Lepisosteus oculatus: one gene and its partners. The protein of the gene in region 2 binds, or shares a complex with, the protein of the main gene of each other region. Links are inferred from orthologs where the notes say so. Each region holds a gene or a part of one and is shown on either strand. Other genes may lie near its edges.

Region 1 (8,472 bases), on a different chromosome or scaffold from region 2:
CTTGAGAGCCCTGGTCGAGGAATCAGGGGAGAGGGGAGGGGACTGGACTGGACTAGATAAGATCACTTTATTAGCCCTATACAATTTCTTGCATTAGGGATTTGTCTTTTTGAAGACCCCAGCTTGCTCTCCATGAGACACACAGACAGGGAGAGAAGCTGGGGGTCAGAGCGCAGGGTCAGCCATTGTACTGCAACCCTAGAGCGGTTGGGGTTAAGGGCCTTGCTCAGGGGCCCAACGGAGTAGGACTCCTCTGCCTCAACCTTCCAGCCACAGGCACAGATCCTGAGCCACAGAGCCACTGCTCCGCCTCTTTGAAAACTGGGGGACAGTTTTCAAAGTTTAGAAACTGAACTGGAAGGGAATCTCACAACTCTGTGAATGTTTATTTCAGAAAGCAACACTCGTGGGGTTTTTTAATGTTCTATAATGTCAAATGTCAAAATATCTGCTACACAAATTAAGGACTGCTGCTGTCTTTTAAAATGCAAACAGGCCACCACAGCAAATTACAGCAGTCAAAACTTCTGTCCATGACACTTCTGCAAACTTGACAGACAGGAAGTGGGAAAACGAGACTCCGTACTGTTCTAAGCTCCATGAGGACCTGCTCATCCACTCCCTCATCCAGGAAGAGCTCTCGGACGTCATTGATCACGTCTTCGATCACAGATCTGTACAGTTTAGGCTGAAACAAAGAAACGGACAGGAAAATAATTTTTTAATGTATGACCACAGACAGATGAATCAGCTCCCTTCTTCTGAAACTTACTCATCAATTAATTAAACTCTCAAACCTTTTTTCCATCTCAGCTGCAAACAGTGATCTTTGCAAACAGTGAAACTTGCAAGCCAACAGCAAATGTCTTTCGGCAACAACTGCACAACTGTGGATTTCGAAAGACGCAAATAAACAAACGGCCAGGCTTGACACAGATTTGTAAACCGTATGCGAGCAGGGTTTATAAATAAATCATGCCCTCTCTGTACACCACACTCCCATTTCACTCCTCCGCAGAGCTCTGTAAAGGAGAAGATTCAATTTACTCTGCGAGACAACACGATAAACACGGGAGCCTCTTGAAAGTTAGTTTTGCAGTGAAGAGCGACTAAAAATGAAGTCCAATTTTAATCATATGGATTTTTGTTTTTGTGAAGCAAGGACACATCATTCAATCTATCCTGTAGATTCCACTCATCAACTGCACTCAACACATTATTCAGGGGAACTTGTATACCCTCTATTCATATTTCTAAATCACATCGGCATAACTACACGGTTTCGGTGAGGGCTTTCAAGCACTTCGCAATTCACTTGAAGTCTCCCGGACAATTTCCAAGAATTTGTCCAACTTGGGATCCGGCACTCAATGGCCATTGTGGCACCTCTTGGAAAAGGCCACGGCCTGGCCTCTCCCTGCACTCCTGCTGCGCTACGGACTGGTTGAAATCTTGGGACACCCTCCCGGTCCCCGCCTCCAGGATCCGGACGGGCAAGCTCACACGGTGCGGCACGGCTCGACCCCGCTCGCCGCTCCAGACCGGCTCGGGAGCCCGGAAGCCCATGCACACACATGCTCCTCGACAAACGCGTTTCACAGGACGGCACAGCGCACCTACACGGCGTTACCGCGGGGGGGCGGACAGGTACAGCACCCACACCAGCCCCTCCCCGCCCGACAGAATCAAAACCATTTTTCAGAGAACCGCGGCTCTGCAAACGGCGCACAAGATATCGGGCTAGTGCGCGCCGGCAAAGCGGCTCGGCGGGCTTCCTCTCGCAGGAGGACGGACGGGCGGAGGTTGTCCAAGCGGCCGGGCTCGGCTGGACCCGGCTGGGCTCGGTTCCGACGGGCGAGCACGGCCGCCGTCTCGGCACGACGTCCTCCGCACTCGCGCCTCCCCCGGCCGGCCGGCTCGTCTGCTCTCTATTTAAACCCCCGCCTGGTGTTTATATGGCGAGCCTGTGACGTAGCCGCGAGTAGCACCGTCCCATCCCTGGCAGTCTATATTAGAGAGCAGCCATGGCTCTATATAAAGACGGAGGAAAGGCGGAGGACCAGAGCGGCGGAGGGAGAAGGGAGGCCGGCCGCACTGGCGGAGCCGGAGCCGGGCGACACGGAGCTGCCCGCGTCCCGTCCCGGAGGGAGGAGGGGGGTTTGGGTGGAGGTGACCATTTCACACACACGAACTGGGGCCGAATCTCCAGGATCTGTGAAATGTTATGAGGACGACTCCTTAAAATAAGAGAGGGATTCTCCCCCCCCACCCCACACAGACGCTTTTACATTTTACGTTTCATTCGTGTTAAAACGCAAATTGCGGGCCACTACTGTTCCAATGCGGGGAAGCGCTGTAAATCTACAATATTTTAGTCGGTAGGACTGCCAAGGATGTTACCTCCGTTAGTGAAAGAAAGTGCTTCACAGAAGAAAGGTACTTTCCTAATGGAAAGGCTAAAACGAGCTAGAGTCCCTACTGAACCACAATAAAACTGCTTTTTTTTCCCCAAACGATATTTTTAAAATGCACCTAAAACTCCAGCATTGTGCCAATACCCTGTAAATGCATTTTCCCCTCTTGTCTACCATTAAGAGCTGCAACAGCCCAAGCAGGCATTAAAAAAAAAACCTAAGCAGCCATTATACCAGTGTTTCGAAACCAAATCTTGACAGTAAAATAACTCAAAATCCCAATGCTCATGTTACATTGCAAACAAGAGTACATCTCCTAGGGGAGACATCCCTGCGCTGCAAGAAGAAACACTGCTCTTTTCATGTTGCTTTCTTCACAAAACCCCCCACGTTAGCTACAAATCAGTGAGATGCAACCGCACTGAGGCTCAAAATTTGGTCTCGCCGAGAAGTTCAACGAATGGCTGCTCGGTTCTTTCCCTCTCTCTTCCCCTGCCTCAGCTGCCCTGCATGTTGGACGGAAGGATATGCCCCCCTGTGAGAGTGTCGACACTCGGTCGTTTCGGCAGCACGAATGCAATCGGCGTCATTATCTGACTGACTGCTCTGGAGATCAGTCCTTACCACGGGATTCGAGTTAGCCGAGCTCGCCATTATGAGCCGAGTGTGTGAAAAAAAAAAACAACCAAAACCCACTGCTAAAAACAAAACGGAAACGTCAGAGACTAAAACATCTAAATCCGATATTTAAAAGAACCCCCCCCCACCCAATTCGGCTTGGGTTTTTTTTTTTAAAAGAAATTAAAATACTATGCACTTATACTAGTCCCAAGGGCTGCGCTGTCCAGCCGTCCTCCGCGCTCCGCCGCCCTCCTTTATATACCGAGCTGCGAGTGCGCGAGACACAGCCCTGGTCAGCGCGGCGCGTCTCGCGAGGCCTCGCCCGGGATTTTCCGCGCAGGACGCGAGATTTCCGACGCCCCCACATCCGGGGGCTCTGGGCGGAGTGGCCTGCTGGGAATTGTAGTCTTTCGTAGTTCGGTGGAGTAGGTAGCAGCGTCAGCACGGGTAGGCTGCAAAGGGGCAAGTCCAGGTTTATTCCATATGTCACACCTGAAGAAAGGCTCCACCTTGCGTTTCTTCTCAGCATGGAATAAACCTTGACTTGCTCCATTGTCGTCTTTATTTTATGCGCCTGATGCGCCTCCCGGGGAGGTGAAGAGCTTGCTGTGGTGTTGTCGTTTCTCGGTGAAGCATGAGGGGTTTGGGGGCTCCCCAGCCGAAGAACAGGAGTAGGATTGCGCTTGCTCACATCTATAATAATAATAATAATTGCTTACACTTATATAGCGCTTTTCTGGACACTCCACTCAAAGCGCTTTACGGGTAATGGGGATCCCCTCCACCACCAACATCTCGTAGGGCGACACGTGTCTGCAACGCTGGGATGGGTTGTTTATTTAACAAACACGATTCCCTTTTTAAGCTTTAACCCCCCCCCCCAGTTGGACCACTGAGTACTGGGGTGGGGGAGGGTAGGAACTAAGCTATCGTTACGGCGTTGTAATGGGATCTAAAACACAGCAACACACAGACAAAAACATTGCCAAGTCCGATCCGTGACTACACGTCCAAGCGAAGACGCTGATGCAGCTCTTTCTCGGCGTGAGTCGGATAGACTTGGTCTGCCGCCGCTGTGCCGTTACTTGTAGAAAAAAGTACTTTACTGTATCATACCGCACCGAATCAACGGGCGGGCTTTTCGTGAGGTTGCTGGGAAGCTGACTGTTTCCAGAACCGCTCAAGCTTCGGTTCCGACCCGGGCAGGGCAGGTGCGCAGTCTGGTCCCAGGATGGGATAGCGCACTCTTGTCTGCTGGGCACCGGGGTGATTCCTCGTCCTGCTGTTTGACGTGCGGGACGTCTTTCTCCAGCAGCTCTGCATGTTTTTGAAGTGGGTCAAAGGGCTTTTATATTATGTCAAGCTCCAAGGTATCTAAACTGTATTGCAGATCTTTAAAGCCGTGGTGTACCACTGCAAAGACGAACACGTGTTAAAAACTGAGATTGTATTCTGTCAATACACAAAAAAAAATATTAGAAGCAGATAGAAGAAAAAATGACACAGCATACGAAACGTGTATCTTAAACTTTTATTCCATCACAAAGAATAAAACAGGAGCAACAGCAGGATATCTTTAAGAGTACAGCTTTCAGATGCTAGTTCATTTGAGTTCTACCTCAAAAACACGTGCACAATAAATTAATTTAAAAAACCCCAATTTCTTAAGAGAAATGGGTCTCATTAGCTGCATTATTTGAAGACAAATAAGATGTATGATTGAAGCACGATATTAAATTATCCAGGTCTCTCTGGCCACTGCAGCATAAAAAAACTAATGACCTCTACCAAAGCCAATTAACCCACAAATAATTACCTGCATGTGTGAAAACCTGTCCAGTCACTTGACTGCAATCTTTCTGAATGCGTAAAGAGCCAACTCCATACTGTACATATCTTGGAAGATAGTCTTTTTAGAACATCATAGAAACATAAGAACATTGTTGGTACTGTTAGCAGCTGAATAAAATCAGAAATTAGAGTTGGATGCAGAGCTTGTGTCTTGTCAACCATCTTGGGACAGTTCTGCCCGTTTACATCAAGACCGATCAAAGACCATTCCTGCTCAGAATCGAGTTCATGGTAATTAGGACTATACAGGTTTGATATACAGTACTAAACTCCATTTTGAGCAAAACCGCCTTTAGATCCTTTTGCAAACAGATGATGTTTGCTTGAGGACCATGGTTTGAATGAGGGAGCATTGCTCTGGCTCTGCAAACATGTTCACTGGATCCTTCATGCACTGATGACTAGTTTTTAGTCCACTGAAGTCATGGGGGTGTGACCATCAGATGTGGTATATCTCTGCCTCTGCTCCAGTCTGACAAGTCGGGACTATATCTGCACTCTCACCACTAGAGCATAAGAAAACCCAAGGGTTTAAAAACTAAAACAAAAATCTTTTTCACCTAAATCCGGTATAACTGTAAATCATTCAAAAGTGCAATTGATTCAGTTAATCAGACACACGATGGTGTTGCCTTCATTTACAGTAACCTGGATGTGAGGCTTCACAGAATTTATTCAAGGTTTTTATTAGTTTAGAAGTTCTCTCTACGTGTTCAATGTACTGTACTTGACAAACATAAAACAGTCATAGTGCAACAGGTACTACAAATTTGGTTTGCTACTTTTATTTCATGTACTATTTAAAATAGCTTTTTAGTATCTTAGTGTTATTTGCTTTTTCTCAAAGTGCAGTACAAGTTTTATTTTATTCACACTGACCAACTGTAAATAGTTTTAAATAATACTGTACAGCTAAAGTACAACGGAAGTTCTGTAAATTTGAAAAAAGACTTTAATCCTACAAATGTGTTCTTCTCCAAATGAAACTTTATAAACTTACAGTAGTTAAATGCTTTTTAATTGCTGAATTACCAGGATTATCTATGGCCTCACATCGTTAATACAGAAATAAAAAATGGTTTAAAACTCAAAAGCTGGAACAGAGTTTTTACTTAACCATCACAGACACAACAGTCCGGATCACTGTCACTTGTTACAAATAATTTTTTTTCCTCTATATCCTTGTCCTTCAGTCTCTCTCCTTCATGTGTATAATCCTAAATCTCTTCTCTTACCAAGCGTGTTACTTTAAAAGGTGATCACTGTCGCCCTGAACAAAAAACAACAAGCTACTGTCAGATCAGCAGGTTATAGAAGCACAAATGGAAGACACAGAGTATTCGTTCCTGGTTCAAACAAAAACTCTTCAATCAAAAATGTCTTTTAATACACAGCAGGTCTATGCAGTTTACCCAGCCTTAACCTCACAGAACAAATCAGAATCTTGAATCTTGGATAAAGTTTCACTGAAAAAGCCCTGATGTACAGCATTATAGGAGGTTGTGGTTTCAACACTGTGATGTACCATAGTCAGACTGTAACAGTAATGTAACACAACCTCTGCTATAATTTATTTAGAAGTTATTTGAGTCTTTCTGGTATGGAAGGCAATACAATTTTATATATTTACAACATAGCTTTTTATGTCTAAATAACATCGTTGATTAAAGCTTTCAAGTTTTTGTGTTTGCTTCAAAGGAGTCATAATTTAAGGTGCAAATTTTAAGTTCTAAATAAAGACTTCAGTGCACCAGGTTCAAATCAAAATGGTGTTCAACACTCAGCATTAAACCTCATTACCGTAACATTAAAAACTTACTTTACAGCATAATAAATGTTTGTATAGATACTGGTCTGAAGGCCAGTACATAACAACCGTTGAAATGAGAATGATCAGCAGTAGTTTACATATCTGAGTAGGAAAATATATTAAAAAAAATAGAAGTAAGCATTTCTACTATTGTGTGTTATCATGAAAAAAATGCATAACAGTAGTACTCTGCCACCAAGCAAAAAATCTTACATATGTGTTATTTCACAATTTTTAAACTGCTTTTGAGTATTTCCTCTTTTTATACAGGAAACATTCCAGTTCTTTCATCCTAATGCTGAAAAAAGCAACTGTAAAAACATCAGATGCTGAAAACCATACAACAAAGAATTTTGGTTTAGATATATACAAACTACAGTTTTACTACTTTTGTAGAAACAATGCAAGTTAACTTGCCTATATCTAAACTAGGTGAAATCCAAATGTGAAGGCACCTTTGTTTCAGATTGGTTTTGTGGAAAAAATGGTTAGTATTCAAGTTTATATTTTTGATATTTTTCAATAATATCTTAAGGATGCTTTTTAATTAAGCACCTTTTAGCCTAAGCACATTCTCAGAAGAGCACTGCTTGATCAGCTGTAAAAAGTGCCTTATGTAAACCTGCATGGTTAAAAAATCAATTACCAAAAATAAACACATCAGCAGCAGCTGTCAAAACCCATAATTCCCAAACGCTAAATGTTTAAAGCAGGCAATCCTGTCTCACAGCTAATAAATTAGTTAATACAAGGACAAGTCGCTCTTTCAGACCACATAGGCCTTTCCCTTTTGGAAAAACAATATTAAAGTCCATTTCTATCGCCATCTAAAAATCAGTGTGTTAGGTGATGCCTTTTTGAATATTTTTTCCCCAAAGTGCAAAGCTCTTCGTTCCTGTGAAAGAGTCACTGCTGTGAGCACCGATTTGGTTTCTCTGTTTGCAGGCTGTTCAGATCCTCCGCCAAATCTGTTTTCTGCTCCATTTCCACCTGTAAAAAAAACACGGAAAGTGGGACTGGGCACCACAAAACTGAGGCAGCCAGAGGTCAACACTACAGTGAATGGCGATTCTTCACTGGGCCACTAGATGGGACCAAAGAGCCATGAGGTGAGAAGATGGGATTACCGATTTAGCTTGCAATTTAACATGGCAATTAAAACATGACACACCGAGTCTTGTCGCATAAACCTTCCTTTTTCGATTAAAGTGGCTTCAACGAGATTCTGCATCTCGACTCAGAGATGAAGATGACTCAGACTTAGATTGAATAGCTGCAAATCTAGTCCCCCCCAGTACTGAATGTTCGATCCGTTTATTTACGTCTTACGTACTGGTGCTGTGATTTCATGGACTTCATGCGATTTTATGCGCGTTTTATGTTTTGCTTGTGCTTTTTTTGTACCTTTAAGGGAGAAGCCAAAGATGATTTCCCACACTAGTGGACAACAAAGTATCTGTTTTTATGTTTTTAATCCTTTATTAACCGAGAGCCAGGCTTCGGGTCAAGCAGCCACCTGCGAAAGTTTGCCGACAGCACTGTTTTGGGCTCAAGAGCAGCAGGTGTGAAGGAGTGAAAGCAAGAAGCCATTCATGTATTCACGCCCTCGAGGCACGAGTCTGCCTGTGAATTGTGGCGCGGAGGGACACGGGGGCAGTGGTGCGCAACGCGCGGGCGGTACCTGGTAGCTGTAGTGCGCCTTGTAGCCGACCCACTTCCTGACGTCCGTCCGGTCCCCCGCGGCCAGGCAGCGCACCGTGGCCCTGGAGGCGGAGG
Region 2 (7,538 bases):
TGTAATATCTTTTAAGGATATATATTATGACTACCAAACACCATTAAGAGATAATCAATTAAAAATTAAAGTGTTTCAGTTTTACTGCTCTGATATTAAGGTATGCTAGTGGTTCTATATTGTTCTAGAAAACCTCTTTTATATAGTACAACTATAACAAATGCCTTCAGCTTGCACATGCTGTGTATGCTCTGATAGGAGTTGTATGCAGGAAACCACATCAGATCCATCAAAATTGTTCATGGGAAAACATCTCCTGGTTCCATATGACACACAGTGCACCAGAGCACATGCACATGAGTTACAGCCCAACACAGCTACGGAAATAAAATAATGTCTAGCAAAAAAAAATCCCGAACTACAGGAGATGAATGTGTAGGTTTTATCCTATTTATGGAATCTAGTGAAGTATTTGTAAATATTTTCATATTAAAACGTAAACTACCTGAAAAAATATAACCTTTTCTAGAATGTTTAAATGTTTGTGGACCTAGTCAACATTTCTCCAGTTAATATAAAATAAACTTTTTTTTTTCACAAGAGCATCAAGTTTTCTTTTATCAGAACAGCAGATTACAATGATTCCCCAGCCATCCAGCTACTATAATGGTGGATGTTCATGATCAACTACTATAATCAGTATTTGTTAAATATAGTACCTAGGATATTTTCACCACAAGTGACAAAAGAAGAAATAAATATTATTCATGTTTTAGATATTGATTTCAAATGCATTTTCATGATCTCTCATACCATAATTTAAGCAACCCCACATCTGATTGCAGTAAATTCATTTTGAATCAACTACATAACACAAGAGTTGTCTTTAATGCACTGTTAAGAAAACAATTAACCACTGCCCCACAATATGTAGAAAAGTCAATACACTATTTCAAGCATGCAACATGTTGAATAACATTTGTAGATTCAGTGTAACTGGTTGTGGTCTTCTCAATTTTTCAATATATGAACTTTTTACTTTAAATTAAAAACTATAAATTCTAATCCCACAATTCTTTTTAGTTGGGCACACATTTTGGTATGTAGTAAATAAGAATGTGAATTCATTAAGAACCAACTAAATAATGCACAGTTGTCCTTTAATGCATTGCCAAGAAAACTGAAAGCCCTTGAACATCTAAATATTAACTGAACCCCAAAATATGTGGGACAATGCTTCCTCCATTACAGCAATCAAGGATTTTTCTTTATTCCTGAAACAAAATTTTACCATCCCCAAATATTTACAATTTCACTTTTACAATATCTGAGGTATACCTTTATAATTTGTATGAGTTGTACAATGAAAAAAAATACAAAAGTTCATATTATAATGTGGACACATTGTATACTGTAGAGCACACTTAATAAAACAAGGGTGTAAGTTGTTTGTGCTGAACATGGTCTTCCATTTACATCTCCATGTTGCTTTATTTCTGAGTAATAGGAAACGAGTTCTGGTCCATTAACTCTCCCACTCTCTCCTGTAGGATTTGAACTACTTCTGCTAAAATGAAGACGTGCGTGTCATCCAGGTCTTGAATGATGAATTTCTTCCCCAGAGCAGAAGTTTCATCCAAATACAGAAGAAACTGCTTCATGGCAGGATCACTACATTAAAACAAATACAAATACAAATACACATTTTAGAAAATGCAGGAATCTGACAACATACAGAGTGACTCTGTAAAAGTACTTGCTTTCTTTGAAGATTTTAGGTTACCTGTGTTTAGTTTTCTTCTCCTAAAATATTATAGATCAATAGTTGAAAACATTAGTAATATGATTTTACAATCTTGGACATTTTCTTATTATTGTACTGTATGTTTAAATTGTCACTACACACAAACAGCTTTTTAGCAGCTGCAGTTCACATGGAGCTCAGAATAGGAATGAGAAATGCCTGGATTTCATGAGTAAATTTCAAACAGTAAAAGTTGCCCAATGCACATTTAATGACAATTAGCCTATATCATTATTACACAATACTACAATTTGAAGCAAAATTATTGGAGACCCATTAACTGCAAATGCATCACCTCACTTAACCTCATTTCTTTTAAAAAATGGTTTTACTAAAAGCATTACAAATATTTATCCTACTACCTCATTAAATATCCTGAGCATAGCATCCTTAAGTTGAACACTAAAGTATCTTGAGAATGACTACAATCGATAAAATCCAAATTTTAGCCACAGAAATAAGATAAAAAGCAAAGTGTTTTAAACTCTTTAAAATTTATTTTACAAATAAGGAAGTAAAGGCACAGGGATATTTTTGAAATACAGGTAAGTTCTTTTGATGTACATACCATTCAACAAGAACTCCTTTCATAACATTCACCATTTTTCTACTTGTAGCTGTCCCACCTCAGAGACTCGTGATATGCACCTAGAGAAAGGTAAGTTGAAAACCAGGATAACTCTACAGTATCAATGATATGAAATAATGACCTCGTGTTCATTGTTCTGTACTGCCGTTATATATTACTGTGCTTTGTTGTACTGTCATGTTATCATTTACTATACTGTGAAGTACTGTGCACACTATGTGAAAATGTTGTCTTTTGTACTGTACTCGTCCCGAGAAAACCGAGCGAAAACGAATCCTAATGTACATATGGCGAATAAACTCCTCTCTCACACACACTTATGCATTTTAATGGTTATGCATGCATTCTTTTCGAAATTTATAACACATACAAACATGGTAATTGTTGTATCAGAGGAATTAATTATAAACAGCATTTAGATTAACTAACGCCATTAAAAACACCATCATTACTATTGAACAACCTATTTGTGTGGGTTTTACTACCAATACTAATGCACAGTATTAGACTGAAATACTTCTAGACATGCCAAAGAGCACAATGAGCTGCTGTATAGCTACGTGTAAAGGTTGTTAGTCAAGTTTCGTAAAAGCTTCACTGGAGCTGGATTATTTCTTTAATTATAATACAAAAATACACAGTCCTAAAGGCGTGCTAAGCAGAAATGCTAAACGATTTAGCTGTACTAAAGTTCCGTAAATAGTTTTTTTTTTTAATATCGAGAGGGTGAATAAGTGAAAACTCACCTCTGTAAAGCTACAAATCTCTAAATTTCAAAGCAGTGTACCCGTGCGTTTGCTAATATAACAGCAGCCGGTTACTTAAAAACAACCATGCGAAAAGCATTGTGGTACAGGATTTGTGGACGGAAAGCTAAACAGGACAAGATAGACTGCATTTAAAGGCGCAGTACACAACCCATTGAAATTGTCATGACCGTTTTGCCTGGTTTCGCGTAAGAAAAGGAACTTTGTTAAATTCTTCTGTTTCAAGAAGTAGTCTCAAGCTTTTATCTTCGAAAGGAATACTTAACGTTTCTCTTTTTAAAATTGTCTTTATCTCTCCACATTAACAATGCCATATGACATTGACATTCTCCGGATAAACCTCAGGTTCTTTAAGTACACCGTCGAGCCTTAAAAGACCTTAAAATTGGATTGCATCTTCTTTATTTACTATTTGAACTATGCTGCGATCTCTGAAAGTATTTTAACAACAAAGTTAAACCTTTGATTATTTGTTTCTATTTGTGATCGTGAGATTAATATGAATAAATAAAATGTTATTTTGGGTGCATGCATAACATGATATTCATTATATCAAAACATATCTAAAACATATTTTGTGTTCATCCAAGTGATCATAAGTATTGTCATATACACAATAAGCACTTTTTAGAATGTGAAAGTCAGTAGTTTTTTTTACATCTTAGAATGTGCCATCATTTGAGATGCGTACCTGCGGCCAAAGTAAATTCCTGGCTAACATTATCAAGTAATCTTTAACAACCAAGTAGTCAGGAAATTAGTTCAGTGTCTTATCTGGAGGGCAACATTACATACAGCTGTTTCCCTGGTCACCATGTTGGGGTGCGGCAGGTTTGGAAACTTTGGTACAGAGGATTGACATCTTATCCATTAACACCACTTACAGCAGCAAACTGTTTTCCTTGGAGACTGGCCATCCACTACAGATCATACCGTGGTGTGTAATCAATGGATCCACAGCATCCTAGTAGATTACTAGAGAGGATCTTTGGTGTGTTTTTGGTACACTGTAGAAGAGCAGTGTCCTTACAGATCTATACAAGTATACCAGTTTTCACAACACATGCTAACGAAGTCACAGTGGGTATTATTATTATTATTAATTATAATTCAAATCCTTACTTTAAGCATTAATATTATACACATTGATAATCTCACCCACAAAGTGTGTGGGGAGGGGTTGTTGGCCTTCTCTTGTTAAACAGCCTATATCTTTGTGTAAGGGGCTTGTTGTCTCATTTATTGGTGGATTTTCATAAAACAAAGTTTCAATTATATTATAAAATAACAGAGAGACATAGTCAATAGATCATTCAAAATTAATCTTATCTGCAAATACAGACAGGAAATGTTTACGGATGATGTTCACATAGTATATACTGTAATTGGAACGGCTTTCACAGGATTCCATGTAAGTAGGTACAAGGCAGACATTTAAAGAATAAGAATATTCTAAAGGAGAAAGCAACATTAAGAGACAAAGTATTAATAACCACACAGTTAATGTTAAAAGTTAATAACCACACAACTCCCAAAATGTAAATACAAATGCAAAAAATGTTTTAATAATATGGCATTCAAATATCATGTGATATTCTTTGAATATAAAGTGCAATGGAATTATACTTCTGAATATTTATTTGAGATCTGGTACCAGGGTTTGTAAACATGGGTTAAATATATTTCTTATCATTTATAATAATAATTTATTTAGTTTTTCCGCAATGCAAATTAATTTGCATTTCTGTGCAATGACATTTTAAGATTATTCATGAATAATCTATTTTACAACAGAAACAGTAAACTTAGTATCTTTTACAAATATTTAGTTCATGTAAAAGTAAAGACCTTCTATAATAAAAAATATACAGTATATATCACCTGAAGATTATAACTTTTATGTTCTTGTACACAGACCACTGCTCTATTTTTCCTGCTCAATGAAACAGTAAACTCTTGGTAATTTATGTATCCATGTCTGAGGCTTAATTAACACTGACATATACAGTATGCTATTAAAAATGCAAACACTACAAAACTCTTAGTTTCTTTTCCTTTGTTATCAAACTTTCATAACATGCAGTATGTTCTGTTGAATACTAATGTTATAGATCTGCTTTCAGTAACAAAATATTACGAAATCTTTATACATATGCAATATGGCAAAATAATGTCAGGTTTTTAAAAGCTGGATTTGAGTTTTAATTTTAGGATATGAACACTTGGGGAAGGTGCTTTCAATATATTGTCCGTATTGACAGTAATACGTTTTTATTAATTGTTAATGTGGCTTTCCAGTGCATCTCTGATGAACTGTAAACTGCGCTTGTAAAGGAAAGAATCCTTTTTCTGGGGTTTGCAGATATTTAGATGATCGACATCCACTTGAATGAGGTCGCCAATCCCCAGATCTGAAAAATTAATGGTAAACATGATTAAACGTTACATCAAAAATAATCAAGTGCTACGGTTTCCTGAACAAATGAAAAGAAATTCACAATATACAATCCCATGTGTTTTGGCTTGTGCTGCTTAATTTAAGTTATTATTAATTTCCCTTAATATACTGTATCTATTTTACCTCCCCGCAGGAGCCTAAGCACATACCTGCAGACTGCACTGGCACGACATGCATCTTCACCATAGGACCGATGCTGGTGGGTAGTGTTTCTGCAAAGCTTAGTATCTTGAACTTCCTTTCCTTGGCCATGCACAGAAAGCGTTCATTTAGTTCATTAAGTGCAGGGGAATCTGAAAAATGTGAAAAGATGTATTATGGATAGAAAAATGGTCATGTTTACTTAGAATTAAAATGGAATTGAAATTCCATTATCTTAGAATTAAAATATGCCACTGAGATGCTGTAAACATGGCTTTGACATATTAAAAGGTAATTTCCGTGTTTCTAACAACAGAAAGGTGTTCCCCTTTTAAAACATCAAACGTTTTCAACAGCTAGCAGTTGAGAGAATAACACATAAATCGTTACTATTAGTCTTAGGAAAAAAAACAACCAGGGCAGTGTTTGCATACATCATAACAAGAGGCATGCAGTATGTTTTATACTTCTTGGCACTGTGAAAATATTAAACCTAAAAAACTAACTTGACTAAATCCAATCATAAAACAAAGTGAATAAAAACTTTACCGAAAACTTTAAGTGATCTTACCTTTGGAGAGCTCCTTGACTTCTACCGAAGGAAACAGCAAATATTTGACAGTGACTGAATACTCAGCAATAGAGGTTCCATGATGAGGAACACTATAGAACATGATTCCTTGTGTATTTTTAATTAAGGACTGCATGTCAGGGTCCTTTAAGGCATCAAGGAGCATCTGTTTGACCAGCAAACCTGTGAATATAAGGAAAAACATCTAAGGTTGAAAGAGAAACTTCTAAATTCAAACTTGTAAAATCAAACAGATTCAGTTTGAACATGCCATCCATACAGTAAAGGGTAGGAGATGCCCAGTTCAAAATAAATGATTCTTTTTACTTTACTTCCTTATGTTCTATTCTTTGGAGGAGAGGTTAAGTGCAAGGCCTATCATAAGTGTCATTGCAGGAGTAGCATAATTCATCCTGTAGTCTCTGTAAGTTGCCTTGCACCTTGTCATGGAAGAGAAAAAGTCCCCAGAAACTGGAAATTCTTTGATTAAAAGCATACTGTATAAGATATAAAAACTGTAAAACAGACCTTAAGCTAAATTACATCTAGTGATGCACTTATCATAAGCTAAGAGGAAATAAATCCTAAGAAGTCCTATGACACCAGCAGGAAGGATTCTCAATACCACATGTTGCATGACTTATCAGTACTGTATGTGTGGGGTGATTGTTCATGATCTTAGGAGATGCTGGCCAGCCCAGTTGGACCCCTACACGACCTTGCATGAAGCAGACACCTAAGAGTTATGACACCTTTCCCTAGGATTCTTTCACACGACCTACGCGTGTTTGTAGCACTCACTACTTTTCAACTGAGAAGATAATTCTAACATGTCATGTTAGATGGTGTCTGGATGCAGATCTTATACAGTATAAAATTAAAAAATTGTGCCACATAGGCTTTGGATGCTACATATGTAGGTGAAAATTGGAGAACCTTTTTCTGGATTATATACTCAAGAAGGTGAGGATCTGGGGTAAAATTTGGAGAAATATAGTTGACATAATATCTTGTAGATATGCTGTAAAAGGAGAGATTTATCTGTTTGGTTGTATTTCTATGGAAAGCAAAGTGTTACCATTTGTTACCTAACTGATTTGACACAAAAACACAAAATTCTTGACCAGTCTTGACATTTTACTGGTCTCACATTTATTCTGATAGATGATAGCACTTGCCCCCATCATTCCAGCTGTTAAGCAGCACTTGCTGGCAAGGTCTCCAGCCTAAACTCTAACTGATCATGTCCAGGTCATATGAAATCATGC
Region 3 (8,129 bases), on a different chromosome or scaffold from region 2:
AGAAAAAAATCCACCATGAAATAGTATACAATAAAAGAAAGATAAAGATAAAAAAATTATCTCCAGTCTTCAACTAGTGACATCCATCCTGTCCTCTCCTCCACATTCAGTCATCCCCCCACCATCCACCCTAACCCCTCCTCCCTCAGTTTGGGGAACCCACAGAGGGATTCACTTTCATACTCACTGACCCTTAAGCAACAATTCTGTTAATGCCACTGGCAAATACTCTGTAACAGGTGACCATAGTTTATGATCTTCTGTTCTCCTATGGAAACTGCACTAAGCCTTCCATAGGGCAGTACACTACAACATTCACCATACCAAAATGTAACAGAGGGTGTTTTTCTTAAACCAGTTGGTTAAAATACATTCCCTTAATAAGAGAAATAAATTATCCAGAAATTGATATTGTGATGGGAGAAACGTTATTTTAGAAGGTAGACCAGAAATGAGGAGCCCAGTGTCCAACTTTATTTTAAAATGGAAAAATATCAAAGCCAGGTATTGTTATTGGAGTACTTCAGGTGAATTCCTTTGGTCAAAGGTACAAACAGCACTGTCTCAGCTGGAGTTTAACCTTCCAGTTTCAGAGACCTAACCCCTGCTGCACAATGCTGCTCTAGCTCTCAAAAAAACCCTGGTGTGAAGCACATTTCTGCAACAGCAATGGACAAAACTAAACAATGTGGGGGATCGCATCAGAATAGGGAGCAACACAACAATGTAAAGCTCAACTTACGTAAGATTTCGGAGTCTAGCTTCATTTGGCATCATAGGAGAAGGAGCTCCATCTCTCTCCCAGTGCGTAGGTTTGGAAAGATAAATCTGCTCAAACTTCAGCAGGTAACGTGGCTAGAACGAAAAGATGACAAGAGGTGATAAACATGCAAAATCCACCCATTGATTTCACAGAAATCGCCCCTACTGTGGGCAAACCGCCCCCTGCACCAATTAATCAGACGTATCTGTGCATCAATACATATCACTACACTTTCAGACTGCTTGGGGTCACATGCCGGAAAAATCTTTTCAAGCCGTCGAGAGACTCACGGGCTCCTCCACTTCTCCAGAGGTGTGCTGGGCCTCAGCCTGCAGGTCGATGGGTGGGGCATCCTCCACAATCCTCTGTACTGACATCTGGATGAACTCATCGAAAGAGTCCAGCTGCTGCCTCACCAAACCCTTTTCATCAAAATAAGAACTACGAAGACAAGAACAGGCCATCCATTACTAATACCATTCTCCCCCTTTGTGCCCCAAATGTGGAAAAAAACCTGGGCTGAATTTGCTTTGAAGATCTGCATTACAGGAGATGATCACTACTGCTTCTATAGATATAGGTCAGAATAACTGCACAGAAAGGAAGAATGCTGACTGCATCAGACAAACTGCAGCTTGCAATGTTAAGAATGACAGTGAACTATAGACTATCTTCATTAAAGCCCAACATTTCCTTCTGTTTTAGAACTTTAAATACATTCTGATTCATTACAGCCAAATCTGTGAAACCCTTTACCAGAAATGTTTTTAACTTTGTATATCTGTATCAGAAAAAAAATGTGCTTTTTTAAAAAAGCAGGATAGAACTTGACTGGACATAAACAGACAAACATATATATGAATATATAAGGGGACACACTTAAAACAAAATGAAAAACAGTTCAACTTTTGCAGTGGAGAGCCACAATCAAGTAGGTCTTATAGGTCATCCTTAAATTATATCTTTGTAAGGACCTGCAACATGTGGACTGTGATCAGTTTAGTCAGGTAACTGGTTCAACTAAATCAGGAATGACCAACCTTTAAACTGTGTAGCTTTAAAAAATGAACAAAACTGAAATTATTCATTTCAGTTCTCAAGTCTTTACAATTGTTTGTAGGAAAACTAATGGTGACATTCAAAATCTGCTGGGTTGTACGTCACTGGGACCAGGGCTGGACTTTTACAGCACAGAAGAATGTTGAAATGTGAGTATTAAGTCAAAAATAAGATCAATAAAATCAAAAGATAACCCTAAAAGGTGAAGGTGGTTAATATGTTATATTTTTTAGGCTGCTCACCTGATGACAATCCAGCAGGCTTCCTGCCACAAGTCTGGAGTGATCTCATCGTCATCTTCATCATACTGAATATCTAAACAAGACCACAGAATTGTAATATTAAGGGAGCCCCATCCACATAAAATATTATGCTCTCTTTGGACTTCCCCCTAAAAAAGTATTATTCACAGGCAGTTACCTTCTACAGGAAGAAAGCTTGCTGCATATGAAACTAACAAAGAAAGGTAAGATGGCCCTTAATGCATTTGATTTTCACAGAAACTGTTTTTACACTACATGCGTGGTAAAAAGCTTTTCAAGAGACATGGTACTTGGACCTGCTATCTCACAGCTCTGGAGACAGCGTGCCGCCTATGCAGAGTTGATCGCACTGCATGTACACATATGAATTTTCTCCAGGCACTTTGCTTCATTCCACTTCCTAAAGGCATGATCAAGGATAAAAGGAGCAAAAAATCTTTATTCTCCTCAATAACCTGCCCTCTCTGAAGCAGCTTTGTTACAATGGCGACACGAGTGTGATTGTTTGTCGAAAGACAGAACTTAGACTAATACATCAGGAGGCATCTGTTAACTTCACCGAAATTGACTTTTATAACGTTTGCTACTCTGCAACCTTTTCGAACATTAAAGAAAAGGCCACGTTTTTAATTCCTAAGGACAGTGGTACGCAAAATGAGATGTTAGAACCACCATGAACTAATTACCGTTCCTCCGATTTCATTTTCTGGCGTTTCTTGATAAAACTGAAATGCCAAAAGCTTTTTGGAAAATCACCTTCCCTATTTGGATGTAAAGCTCTCGCCTGTTGAATGCATTTCAAAATACAAATTTAGAACTCATGTGCTGAAAGTGACTGTAAATACGAACGGTTTAGACTGAGAATGTTGAAAACGAAGCACAATATTTCTAAAACAAACTTCAGGATGCACAAAATCTAAATAACAGATGTCGTTAAACGTGTCAGAGTTAATGGCACAATTCATTTTGCATTTATAAGACACCTCTGTACAATACAGACCAAAAATCAAAGAACGTACCCTGACGCCATGTTCAAAATATTGTTTAAAAAAAGAACTAAACAAACCAGATACCTACCTTCATCTTGATCATACATATTGGATTGAAGGTACTTCCTTTATTGACTCCAAAAGAAAAAAAAACACTTACAAATACGTTGAATTAAAAATAAGTGCGCTATAACCCTCTACTTCCATCCACACCACCTGAACACAACAGTACGAGATATCGATGGTGTATACGTCACTTCCTGCAGGCTTTCGTGACGTCAAACGAAACATTTTAAAATAATTGAACCACCAGAAATATGTTAATTGTAATTGATATTCTCAATAATAATACAAAGAGAATCGTGATAATAATTATTAATAATAATTTCGGATGGTTTGATGTGGTAATCATATACGTCACAGGAGTCAGAGTACTAAAAATGGAAGACTCCTAGACGCACCACATGTGTATGTTATTATTTGCCATTCAAGGTTCAACTAAGAAGAAAAAACGTAACCTTTAAAAAAATATTTCAAGTATAATTTCTTTTTTAATTATATTAAAAATGCAGAGGTTATACCGACTAAAGCAATGTGCTCCTGCTTGTTATTGCGCCCGGAATGTGTTTCCTGTATTTTTACCAACTTTGGGGGACAGACAAGGTAATCGCTGTTCATCTATTCTACGCAATTGTCCAGGACTCTGTAGAAAAGTGCCAACTTTTAAGATCTTCTGCTTGGAAGACACGTGGACGTCAGTGGCCCGCTGTTACAGCACAACGCAAGCGGCAATCGGCGACAGCGGAAAGCAGGGACGTCTTGGAAACTCTTACACATCGATTGAACCAGAAAAAGAAGAAGAATTCGTCTTTCTAGACTACTCCAACCTAGAGGAAGAGAACGATGATGGGGTTTCTTTCAAACCCCCTTCGCAGATGGGGTCTGTGGCCAATAAAGAGAGAAACGCATCGCGAAAGTCGTGTACAGAGGTGTATCACAGAGCTTTGGAAATACAGATGCGGTTATTAGAAGATACAGTGTTAGACCAGGACCAGGACGTACAAGAAATGGATATAGAATTTCATGACGCTGGCTTCCCCCTTCCTAAATTAACTTCTAAAAGGAAAAAATCTCAAAAAATATACGGCACTCCAGATAAGGAGATTCCTTTTAGTGACAACAGCTGTTCGGGATGCGGTGCTCGTATGCATTGCACTGACCCGATTTTGCCCGGTTATGTACCCAGTGAGAAATACAAACAGCTAATAAAGGAGGACAAGATGGACAGAGCGGTGTGTCAGCGATGTTTCTTGCTTGTCCATCACCAAAAGTCTTTAAATATTCAGGTTTCGAAAGAAGAATATCGGAATGTTGTTAGTCGGATACGCCAAGAAAAAGCTTTGGTATTGTTCATTGTGGACCTTCTGGATATTCCCGATTCTATCATTCCAGATCTGTTAGAACTAGTGGGCAAAAATAAAACCATAGTGGTTCTGGGAAATAAAATAGATCTGCTACCTGGCGATTCGGATTGCTATTTAAAACGAATTAAACGTCAGCTTTTTGCATATTGTGTTGACGCAGGTATTACTTTAGGCGATGGCACCAAAGACGTCCATCTCATCAGCGCCAAGACCGGCTATGGGATAGAAAACCTAATTTCGAGTCTTCAAAGATCGTGGAAATATAAAGGAGATGTGTATTTGGTTGGAACAGCAAATGCTGGAAAGTCTACACTGTTTAACACCCTGCTGGAGTCAGACTACTGCAAGTCGAAAGCTCCAGATGTGATTCAGAAAGCTACCATATCTCGATGGCCAGGTAATTATTACTGTACATTTGCCAGGCTGCAGGCCAGTGCAAAGTGAAGACCCGCTCTCTTTCGTCGTAGAAGCCTATGAAGGCACTATATAATGCAGTGAGGTTTAGCATGATTTGCAGAGAAACTGCCCATATGTCTAAGTAAAGGCCTTGCAGTGCCAAGTTCAAGTTATTAGGATATGTTTATGTGAAGTCTTTGTATGAACAGTGTAATAAACCTCAGTCTAAATCACTAGATGTTTTGATGATTGAGGAAGAAATACCTTTCGCTATTCCCTCAGCTCAGTGTATGAAAAGTATTGTTTTCCATCTGTCAAAACCTAAATTTATCCCATGTTAGGTGGTCATATTTTAGGTTGTTGCAGATGGAAGCAGACACTAACCTATCTGTTCTTCATGAGGCACCACACTAAATCTCCTGAAGTTCCCAATCATCAACCCCACTCCATATCGCATGTTCAAGAGGTCTGAGAGACTGAAGAGTGATGGCTCTCAGTCAGAGAAGGACCTGAGCCCACAGGAGTTAAGACGACTGCAGCAGCTCAGCAAGCAGGGATATTTAGTAGGTAAGAGTTCTGACTTCTATGACAGTACCAGATCAACATTTGTTCAGGCCTGAATAAATTAAAAGGAGACAGAATAAAAACCCTGTGACTAAATCTAAACTTCCCCTTAACCCTAACTTAAATGACACAGTGAAACTCTTAACTCTAACCCTATGCTCCCCTTAACTCTCAGTCCTCACTTTAACTTACATTCCAGCATCTGGTACCTTAACACAGCCTGGTTTCAAGCCCATAATTATAATAATAAACCTATTCCTGTTCCTCCATGACCCTGATTTCTTCAAGAGCCCAATGAAAGACTTCCTGTGGGGGTGGAGTTGCCACACTTGCACGGTTGACAAGGAATTTGTCTTCCCTGTTCATTTCAGGGCGAGTTGGCAGATCTTTTGGCTCGGCTGTCCAGGCGCAGAAAGATATGGATGTTGTGGATTTTGATCTAGAAAGTCTCAGTGTGGGAGAGGAGGAAGAAGACAGAATGAGTAAAAAATCAGCTCTTTCCAACCCAGTGGAGTTCACCCACAACGAGCTCAAAGATGCGCATTGGCTGTATGACACCCCGGGAATTATGAAAGAACACTGTGTGAGTGCTTTTGCTAAAACGTATTGTACGTTTAGCCAATGCAATCTTTGTGCTTAGCTGCAGAATAATTACTACATGCACCTAATATATTGAATCAGACATGAGTCATGAGTGCAGCATCATGTCAGATGTAGAGCTCTTCTCTGACTGAAACACTTACTGTCTGCTGGTGCCCATGGTCAGTTATTGCTATCCCTATTAGTTAAAATGTGCCATCTTGTAGTTGTTTTTATTCCAGGCAGACATGGGAAGCTTTAGTACTGATAAGCTTGATTATTTCCCAGAGGAAACTGATTGTCCTACACTGACTCCAGCTCCCTTTTCCATGTAGATGCCCCTCAGAACCTTATATGTGCCCATAGAGGTCGCCTCTATCAGACCCACGTACAGACTTCTTTCTTGTAGTCATCCAGAACACCAGGCAACGCGTTATAGCTCTCAGACACTATGAACTTGCAGGGGTTTGGAAATTAGAACTAGTGGCTCAGTTGTACAGCAGTGGATTTCTTGAGCAAGGTCAACATGGAAGTAGGAAGGGTAGCTCTTTGCATAGCTTTAAACAAGCAACAGAAGTAATGGATACAAACAGAGTATATTTTGATTTTCCAAAGGCTGTTGATAAAAGATTCATTCTCAATAGGTAGTAGGGAGTCAAGCTACTGTATGGATTTGGATTGAGAACTGCCTAATGCATAGAAAACAGTGAAGGGTTAAATGCTCAAAACTGGGTGATGTTATTTCTGAAGTACCACAAGTCTCTGTGTTAGGACCACTCCTCTAAATCAATTTTTAATTTATATTAATGATCTTAATGGGATTAGGTTATTAACTAGTCACGTTCACAGATGACACCAAAATAGGAGGATGAGGATTAAAAACAATCTGTAAAAGATCAAGGCAAACTTTAACAAATGGCAGACAGCATTTAATGCAGACACGTGTAAAGTGTTTGTAACAGGGCGCTGTGTATACTGTGTGCCCATGTTTGAAAGCCTATTGAAATAAGCAGTTCTGCTATTTAATCTCTTTGCATTTTGCAGGTTCTCAGTCAGCTCACAGATGAAGAGTTGAAGATGGTGGTACCAACTCAAGCCATTGTGCCCAGGACGTTTGTGCTGAAGCCGGGAATGGTGCTCTTTTTGGGCGCCCTAGTGCGCATAGATTTCCTTAAGGTGGGTAAATTGTAGAGGTCATGACCATTTGGTTTTGTGCCCATGGTGTCATACATGGACTAAAAAGTAAAATGTTTGTTAACTGTTTTTAGAGTATGTTCCCCAATTCAGCATGGACATAAGTGACACTTTAAATGCAGTTGTGTTAAATGTTGTGATGTAAAATAAACGCAAGTGACAATAGTGGATTACGATTTCAGTGAAGTTAAAAGTGCCAAAAGGATAATTGAGGCAAATAATGGTAGTTTGCAATATTACATGCTGATTTTGGATGTAATATTGCAATATTACCAATATTACATACAGATTTTGCTTGATTATTCAATAGGTATCTGTACAGATTTTTTCGTAATAAAAGTACCACAAACACATCGCCTGGAGGAGAACTGGGACCCCAGAGGTCTATTTGCTCCCACAGGAATTTTTTGTTTTCCCTTTTTTTGTACTCTTGAGGTCTACTGTTGCTGTACAGGATTGTTAACTGCTGTATAAATCTGCAAAGCAGTCTGTGGCAAATGATTTAAGAGAGATTTAATATTTTTTTTCAAATGAGATGCAACAATGAGATTCAAAGGAGATAAAAAAATATTTTAGGCATGAGTGGTGCCATTAAGATTCTTGTGCACTCCATGAGTGGTAGCCTGTTTCACTTTAAAGGCTCTTCTTGCCTTAGGGCGAGAGATCTTGTTGGCTCTCGATTGTCGCCTCCAATCTCCTGCCAGTTCACATCACCAGTGGGGAGAAAGCAGATGACATTTACCAAAAGCATGCTGGGAATACACTTCTTGGGGTAAGTGCGTGTGAACAGTAGGAAACCAAAACAGAAAACTTTTAAAGCACAACTCTTATCTTTGCTGTAGCAATTAAATTTGGGGAAAATGAATGTTTTAGTTTATAGTATTAAAGTGATACCTCA

Evidence for each region. Proteins that work in one complex are often made in the same cells at the same time.
Region 1: gtf2h5 (region 2) and gtf2a1 share a complex: the UniProt entries of both Homo sapiens proteins name them as parts of the TBP-based Pol II pre-initiation complex. The link is inferred for Lepisosteus oculatus from reciprocal best matches to the Homo sapiens genes GTF2H5 and GTF2A1.
Region 3: gtf2h5 (region 2) and polr2b share a complex: the UniProt entries of both Homo sapiens proteins name them as parts of the TBP-based Pol II pre-initiation complex. The link is inferred for Lepisosteus oculatus from reciprocal best matches to the Homo sapiens genes GTF2H5 and POLR2B.

Annotation. Positions count from the first base shown.
Region 1 is NC_090703.1:2,817,897-2,826,368, forward strand, and holds the start of gtf2a1 (transcription initiation factor IIA subunit 1), read right to left. Parts: upstream 3,313-8,472; 5' UTR 3,069-3,312; coding exon 3,039-3,068; intron 689-3,038; coding exon 587-688; intron 1-586. Other genes in the region: ston2 (stonin-2), read right to left, coding at 7,603-7,686, 8,378-8,472. UniProt on the Homo sapiens protein: TFIIA is a component of the transcription machinery of RNA polymerase II and plays an important role in transcriptional activation. TFIIA in a complex with TBP mediates transcriptional activity.
Region 2 is NC_090697.1:48,833,879-48,841,416, reverse strand, and holds gtf2h5 (general transcription factor IIH subunit 5), read right to left. Parts: upstream 3,186-7,538; 5' UTR 3,080-3,185; intron 2,393-3,079; 5' UTR 2,348-2,392; coding exon 2,313-2,347; intron 1,612-2,312; coding exon 1,431-1,611; 3' UTR 810-1,430; downstream 1-809. Other genes in the region: protein SERAC1, read right to left, coding at 5,375-5,511, 5,708-5,851, 6,271-6,453. UniProt on the Homo sapiens protein: Component of the general transcription and DNA repair factor IIH (TFIIH) core complex, which is involved in general and transcription-coupled nucleotide excision repair (NER) of damaged DNA and, when complexed to CAK, in RNA transcription by RNA polymerase II.
Region 3 is NC_090696.1:33,268,197-33,276,325, forward strand, and holds the start of polr2b (DNA-directed RNA polymerase II subunit RPB2), read right to left. Parts: upstream 3,313-8,129; 5' UTR 3,182-3,312; coding exon 3,163-3,181; intron 2,138-3,162; coding exon 2,065-2,137; intron 1,205-2,064; coding exon 1,054-1,204; intron 856-1,053; coding exon 743-855; intron 1-742. Other genes in the region: noa1 (nitric oxide-associated protein 1), read left to right, coding at 3,641-4,895, 5,297-5,461, 5,830-6,041, 7,082-7,213, 7,887-8,003. UniProt on the Homo sapiens protein: Catalytic core component of RNA polymerase II (Pol II), a DNA-dependent RNA polymerase which synthesizes mRNA precursors and many functional non-coding RNAs using the four ribonucleoside triphosphates as substrates.